2 linked regions of the Tribolium castaneum genome follow. The protein of the gene in region 1 purifies or fractionates together with the protein of each later gene. This does not show direct contact. Links are inferred from orthologs where the notes say so. Each region holds a gene or a part of one and is shown in the gene's direction. Other genes may lie near its edges. The genes, in order: retinoblastoma-like protein 1 and Dp.

Region 1 (3,924 bases):
GAGTTACCAGATGAAAGTGATTACGTTGTTGTTAAACGTAACGGGCGTCTACATCAAGAGAGTGTCAAATGGCTTGTATATTTTAATGATAATGAAACTCTTATTTCTTGCAGCAAAGACTCAAATGTGTCAATATTAATACATTATATCGGAAATAAAAACAAGCCGTACATTTTCAAGATACAAAAAGTAAGTAACACAGTCACTGTTACGAAAGTTGTCATATTTATTTATTAAACCGCTAGGGTTGTAACTGTTTTGCATTAAGCAGAATACGTAAGATACTAGCCACAGGAAGCGAAAATTCTGTTCTGAGATTGTGGAACCCTATTATTACCTCAAAACCAATCGCAATTTTGAAAGGACATCAAGCACCGATTATGGACGTTAAAATATTGGATAAACTAAATTTACTTATTAGTTGTTCAGCTGATGCAGTATATTTTTCTATTTTGCATTTAATTCTATTTACTAATTTTTGTATAATTGTTGTAGATGTTTAAATTATGGGATTTGGAAAAACAAAAGTGCATTCAAAGTTTTTCTATCAGTTTCCCGTCTTTTAAAGTGTTTGGAAAATTAATTGAATGGGGAATTGAATGCATTTATCCCGGCCCTAAACGCACTTCCTTTAATGAGATTGAGATCGAACTTTTTGAAAGATCACCACTGTTAATCACTTGTTGCAATCACATCGCTGTTATTAAAATAGTAAATCAGAGCAACGAAATACAGAAAATTGTTGAATCGCAAGTTTTGCCTCCACCTCCTCTACAAAATAGTGTTTTGATTCCAAAAATGTGGAGAACGTCTGATAGTCCCGAAACAATAAATAAGTATGATTTTTTTTCTAAACCTCGTTTTTTATTAAATTGTTAACGCTATTACAGAGAAGAACAGTTTGAAGAAGCAATTGATGACAAATTTCTCAAAGAAAAAATAAAAGAGTTGGAATTTATTCTAAAAAAAGACCTGTTTGCAAATGATGGCTCAAGTAAGAGCGATATCAATTTCAAAATTGCGACATTAGAGCGAAAAAAAGTGCAGGCATGTATAGCAATGAATTGATTTTATTTATGTCAACAAATAATATTTAGATGCGAGAAAACGTTGCACGCGGTGCTCCCTATTTAGCCCTGGAGCTACCCGAAGTGAGCGACCTATACCTAACACCAAACTTGCCCGTCCCTGACAAAAAGAAAACGAAAAATATTGTGGAAAAAATCGAGAAAGTTTTACAAGACGCCAGTTACAAGGACTTGGTATTTTCGGAACCCTCCTCCAGCCGCTCGCCACGGTCCTCACGAAGCAGTGTTATTGAATTTGACTAGTATCACTGTAATAAAAATTTTTGTAATAAAAATTAAAATTCATCTTGCGCGCGTCCCCAAGCCAGCAGGTGAAGCTTCCACTAATGCGAAACTTCCCTAAACGGTGTTTGTGTTTGGCGCTAAGAATTGGCGGGAAAGCCCATTTCTCTCCCCTTTTCGTGCCCACAGCAGCTGTATTGGCACATAGTGTCCTAATTAATTAAAGTGTGGCTAAAAACTTGCAAAGTGCTTCGATTATAAAGTTACTGGTAACTTTCCAAATTTGGGTTTGAGGTTACCCTCCATGCGCAGTCAAAAGTAGTTCTGGCTGATCGACAAAAAACTGTGTACGTATTCGCGCGTAAACGCCGAAATATTTTGGATTTTAGCGGCATTTCCTCGTCGAAAATAATGTGCAAAGCGGGAAAGTCGGGGTTTGAGCGTGATTGTGTTGTTTTTTAGTCGTCTCTTGTGTGGATTCCCGCCTTTTGTAGGCGTTGTCAAGAGCTCAATGGTGGCTAGTGGTGCGAAATTGTTTAGCAGCGGTTTGTAATTGTTGGAAATCATGGTGTTATCAAGCGAAACCGAAGAATTGGAGGAGAAACACTCAGAACTGTGCAACAAACTGCACCTGAGCCAACAGATTTCCAGAGACGCTTGGGAGCGATTTGAGACAATTAACAAGAATTTCACTCTGGAGGTGAGTCTCAACCCCTTAAATCACTGCAAACTATCGGGATTTTCAGGGGGAGCCCCTCCACTGGATAGGGTGTGCAATATACGTGTCGTGTTGGAAGTCCATCGCTGCAACGGCTGCACAAAATAGTGTTCACACGAATTGTGTTAACTTGACCAATCTTCTGCGTCATTGTAACTTAAGGTCAGCCAACAACAAACAGTCTTTGGGTTATTTTTAACGCATGGTTACAGCATAGCACAGTTCTTTTACAAAATCAAACAATGGTCGGACATGGCCAGCATGCCTGAGGAGTTCAAAAAGCGGATTGAGTATCTGGAAGGGAGCTTCTCTGTGGCTTACAACGTTTTTAAAGAATACCAGCCTCTCTTTATGCAAATATTTAAGGCACCTAAAGCTCCAGAAGCGCACGAACTGGACACAAGTAAACACAGAAACCGGAAAAATAAGTAAGAAGTCTCTCTAAACCAATTTATTTCAACTACGAAATTGTATATTTTAGACCTGTGCCTTCGTCCCCACTCAAAGTCTTCGAGTTTTGTTGGACCTTGTTTATCACAATAAAAAGTGAAGACACGAATTATAACAACGACTTGGTCACGTCGTGTCATTTACTTATTGCCATTTGCGACTGGGCGTTCAAACATGCGCTCCAAGCCGACCGCAAGGATCTCCTAAACCCCGACTTTGCGGGCCTGCCTGAAGACTTCGCCCAGCCCAGCTATGTGCCCCCTTCGGAGGCCCCTTGCATCGTCAGCTTACTGTGCCCCAGTCCGAACATAATCACCGACCTGAAGTACGTAAAAGAGTACCAGTTCAAAAAATCGATTCGGAATTATCTCGACCAAGGCGTCTTGATTGAGAACGACCAAGGCGATGTCTTGGACACCTCGGTGTTTGACCATAATTACAAAAGCATTGGGAACGTGTACGAGAAAAATATCCTGAATAAGAGCGATTTTGACGAGCGCATTTTCCTGGGTGAGTGATTTTACAGCTAGTCCAATCATATGGCGAGCCAGCTGCGCAAACAGCTGACTGTCTTACCTGAACAGATGCTCCTGACCTTGCCCTAACACCTGTTTCATTCCAGCTGAGTACAAAAGAAAACTTCTAGTGAGAGACCAGAGTGTGGCGCAAAATGCAGGTAATTTGAATCGAGAAATCTATGATCAAACAATTGAATTTTGCAATTTCAGCTGACAACGCAAGTCCGGAGTTATCGACCAAAGAAATGGTATTTTATTTTTGTGTGTGGTATTTTTTTTACGTTTGTTAATAGGTTGTTAGTAAAGAGTGTTTGACGCCGCTCACTGGCCGCAAATATTTGGGCCCGAAGGAGTCGCAAGAGTCGACTCCGCTTGTGACAGCTACTGAAAGCATTTCAAGGCTTAATAACTTGCTTCATGGGCGCCAGCCGGCCCCCAGTGAGGCTTTAGTGCAATTGTTTGAGTAATTATGACGCCCAGAGTGGTTGAACGTGTCTATGATGATGTTTTAAGGTCTTGTGCTCGCAATCCAACTGAGAGAATCAATCAAATTGTTACAAATTTGGGGGAGAGGTTTCTGGAAGGCCACCCAGTTGACCAAAGAGAAGTAGCACAAAGGCGACTGCAGCTCGCGACAACTTTGTTTTATAAATTTATTGAAAGTATTCTGCAGAATGAGCGCTCAATACATGCTGATTTATCGGTATGTTTTTTAATTATTATTTGTTCTGTAGTATTTTTATTGTTTTTTTAGGCCATTGTGGAAAAAGACGTATTTTACGAATGTATGTTTGCTTGTTGTTTAGAAATTGTTATTTATTCATACAATAGTCGGCAAAGGTTCCCCTGGATATTGAAAGCACTGCAAATACAACCATATAATTTTGTTAAAGTGATTGAACTTATCATTCGCTCAAGAGATAAGCTT
Region 2 (3,431 bases), on another chromosome or scaffold:
AACAGATAAGGTTTTCCTAGGTATAAAAAACCCTAGATAACAGTGTTCATGTCTGTTTTTAAGCCGAACGCATAAAGTGTAAATAAGTATTTTCGTGGATAGACTGGCAATATTTTCTTGATTGCTTTCAAGCTTTTACAGATAAAGCCAACCCACGATTAATGTAGATAACAAATGTGTTGTATTTAATCTCACCACAACACAAATTGCCACAAACCGGAGCGAAATTATAAATAAGGCTTTAGGTATTTGATTGGTTTTGTGTTGAAATAGCAACAAAATATCCTGATAGAGATCGTGTCAAAAAAATTCGAAGAAGTCATTTGTGGCTTCCCAAGGACACGATCGCGTGATGATTGTCACACCTTTAATCCAGTTTACAATATTTTTAATTTAATCCAACGTCACACTCTTCCTTGCAATTATCGCTTTGTTATTATACCCTCCTACATCGACGCCCACTTTCATCACCTAATTGTTTATCCATTAAAATATGTACACGTTTAAAACACTGCTTCTCCCTGTAGGTGTATGGCACTACAGGTTCGTCGCAACAAATCATAAGAACAATAGCAACGACTCCAAAATTCGTAACAACAAGTAAGCTAATTAGAGTTTGCGGTTCACCGATTTTTATTAAATTTTTTAGAAGGTAGCACGCTTCAGGTCAGTGGAATCCCGAAAGGAACGAAAACATTTCGTTTAACGCCGACTCAAATGGTAGAGAGTTAAATGTCTTGCGAGCATTTGTAACAAGTTGATATTTTTAGCAAAGTATAAAATTTGTTACGCAAAATAACCAGAAACTGCAACTTAGCCAAAATGCAACGGCAATACCAATTGTACAACAAACACACACAGTCCAAAACAAGAACAATTCGCCGCCGATTCTGCAAAGAAAAAGGGCCGATCCGATTGAGCTAGATTTCGTACACGATTCGTAAGTTTACTGTTTTTTTTTTTTATTATTTTTTTCTCTTTATGCTTTGTGTTAGAAAACGAAGCAGAAAGTCGGAAAAGGTCGGCAAAGGCCTGCGCCACTTCTCGATGAAAGTTTGCGAAAAGGTGAGGAAAAAAGGCAAAACGACGTACAATGAAGTGGCAGATGAGTTAGTAGGGGAATTCACGAGCGCATCCAGCAATAACTCATTGGCGGATCAGGTACTAGTCATAGTTGGAAACCAGAGTTGTGTTGTAACGAGAATTTTGCAGTATGACCAAAAAAATATCAGACGAAGAGTTTACGATGCCTTAAACGTACTAATGGCCATGAACATAATTTCCAAAGAAAAGAAAGAAATCAGGTGGATTGGGTTACCGACAAATTCGCTCCAAGAGTGCATGCAGTTGGAGCGGGAGAAGCTTAAAAAAATCGCCTCGATCAGGGAGAAGAAGAAGCAGTTGCAAGAATTGATTTTGAACCAAATTTCGTTTAAGAACTTAGCTCAGAGGAACAGAGAAATGGAAGAAATCAACGGACCACCAGCCCCGAGTTCATACATTCAGTTGCCTTTTCTTATCATAAGCACAAATAAAAAGACTGAGATCGACTGCAGCATCTCAAACGACAAGTAAGTGTCTTAGTTTAATTATCCAATTAGTAAGCGTGTTTTGCAGGAAAGAATACGTGTTTAAATTCAACGACAAATTCGAGATTAAAGACGACGTGGAAGTCTTGAAATCAATTGGGATGTTGATGGGTATGTTACTACTTTTCGTGAGGGAAACGTGTCTTATTGTTGATTGTAGGACTCGAGAGTGGGAAATGCACCCCCGAAAATTTGGAACGGATCAAAAAGATGGTCCCAAAGTCGCTCGAAAGCTACGTAGATCGTACGTATGTCCCTTTTGTTATAAAACCTCACCTTGTTTTTCAGAATTGGCGTTTGGGGCTGCTGACGAAACTGAAGCTTTATTGGACGTGGAGGCCCCTGGTACAAGCAGTATGTTGACTGAAGACTTCGTCGAGACAACTCTGGACGAGGAGAACTCGCACCAGTCCTCCAGCGATCCCCTCTCTCCAGGTGCCCCCGACTTCAGCGACGACGAGGGGGATTCGGACATGTCCAGTGACATTGAATTGAACTAGTGTTTATTCTACAGTGTCTCAATGTCTGTCCATGTGATTGCAGTAAGAGACGATCGTATTTCATTATTTTATGTACATTATTGTTAAGTACTAAATTTTATTCGTCGATTTTAATTGCGTTGGACAAAAGGCGGGAGTGTTTGTCGGGGGTTGTGGCAATGTGGGTAGCTTTTGTCCAACCCAACGATTATACAGGTACGTTTTTGTACATTAATATTAGTTTAGTGATTAACTTTTTTCAACATTTTCTTTAATACATGTATATACAAAATATACTTTATGTTGTATAAATTCTTCTCTTTGTTTGCAAATAAATTTGCACCTGTGATAACAAGTGCTTGTAATTTAAATGTGTTTAAAAGGAATGGTCAGATTTTTGTAGTGGACCAATATTTTTTGATTAGAGTATTCCAAAAAAAGATTAAAAGTTTAGATTGCTTCGAAGTTGAGTAATTCTTTATTCTTTTGACGGTTTGTAAATAAGTACAGGAGCGGAAAGCTGTTTAGGTTTCTTTTGTATATAATAAGATTAAATCTTTTATATACTCCTTTTTTATTGTTATTTATAAAACTTAATTTTAGTTGTTAATTATAAAACTAAGTTTTTCTTGACTTTACAATAGACTCCAGTTTGTAAAAAATAAATCATTTAAATTAATACGCTTTTCCTTTCACATCTATTAACCCAAAATTTTACATCTAGACCAAGTTAGCAACGTCAGAACCAAAGAACATAATCAAAGCTCAGTTGAGGTCTTCATCATCATAGAGGTCCTCAAAATCTGAAAAACAAAACGTAGCTGAGTGTTTTCTGAAAGTGCCCGAAAAATCCCATAGGTTGTATCAATGTTTAAATACAAAAATCCGATTTCAGAAACAGCACAAAGTTTGAAAGACTAACAATTCATTTAGCATTTGATCTCTATATTCTTACCATTAAAAAAATCAGCGTGGACTGCTTTTTCGTTCGCAGCAAGGTCCATTAGTAATCCACTGGAACCTCCAGCCTAAAATAACAAAATAATGTGTTTCCAACTGAGCCACAAAGAATCCTAATACCTCCTCTAGATCCATATATGGACCTGCACCTTCTGGAAACATCTCATCCGCAACAATTGCAGGTTTCATTGTACTATCTATTCCTTCTTCAAATCTGTTTATTTATGAAAAAAAAAGAGAAAATAATTTAATCAACTACATAACCTTACCTTCGAACGTACACAAAAACATTAGACCTACTGTCAGTGCTTTTGCTTGCCGAATATATCATTTATTGAACGTAATAGTCTACTACAAGAATAACCGAATCAAACATTTTTTTAATTGGTGATGCTAAAAAATA

Evidence for each region.
Region 2: the proteins of retinoblastoma-like protein 1 (region 1) and Dp purify together in Drosophila melanogaster (affinity purification with western blotting; 4 studies listed by BioGRID, with this or other methods). This does not show direct contact. The link is inferred for Tribolium castaneum from reciprocal best matches to the Drosophila melanogaster genes Rbf and Dp.

Annotation. Positions count from the first base shown.
Region 1 is NC_087396.1:19,756,342-19,760,265, forward strand, and holds the start of retinoblastoma-like protein 1, read left to right. Parts: upstream 1-1,457; 5' UTR 1,458-1,875; coding exon 1,876-2,010; intron 2,011-2,056; coding exon 2,057-2,190; intron 2,191-2,240; coding exon 2,241-2,456; intron 2,457-2,509; coding exon 2,510-2,988; intron 2,989-3,100; coding exon 3,101-3,154; intron 3,155-3,206; coding exon 3,207-3,244; intron 3,245-3,289; coding exon 3,290-3,459; intron 3,460-3,509; coding exon 3,510-3,699; intron 3,700-3,750; coding exon 3,751-3,924. Other genes in the region: WD repeat-containing protein 64, read left to right, coding at 1-189, 246-437, 496-836, 891-1,047, 1,098-1,331.
Region 2 is NC_087398.1:7,912,137-7,915,567, forward strand, and holds the end of Dp (transcription factor Dp-1), read left to right. Parts: exon of another isoform or gene 1-51; intron 52-527; coding exon 528-600; intron 601-649; coding exon 650-720; intron 721-770; coding exon 771-940; intron 941-995; coding exon 996-1,161; intron 1,162-1,212; coding exon 1,213-1,571; intron 1,572-1,617; coding exon 1,618-1,700; intron 1,701-1,749; coding exon 1,750-1,833; intron 1,834-1,877; coding exon 1,878-2,089; 3' UTR 2,090-2,747; downstream 2,748-3,431. Other genes in the region: Myeov2 (uncharacterized protein LOC100302525), read right to left, coding at 2,834-2,871, 3,024-3,096, 3,149-3,242, 3,298-3,359. UniProt on the Drosophila melanogaster protein: Component of the DREAM complex, a multiprotein complex that can both act as a transcription activator or repressor depending on the context. In follicle cells, the complex plays a central role in the site-specific DNA replication at the chorion loci.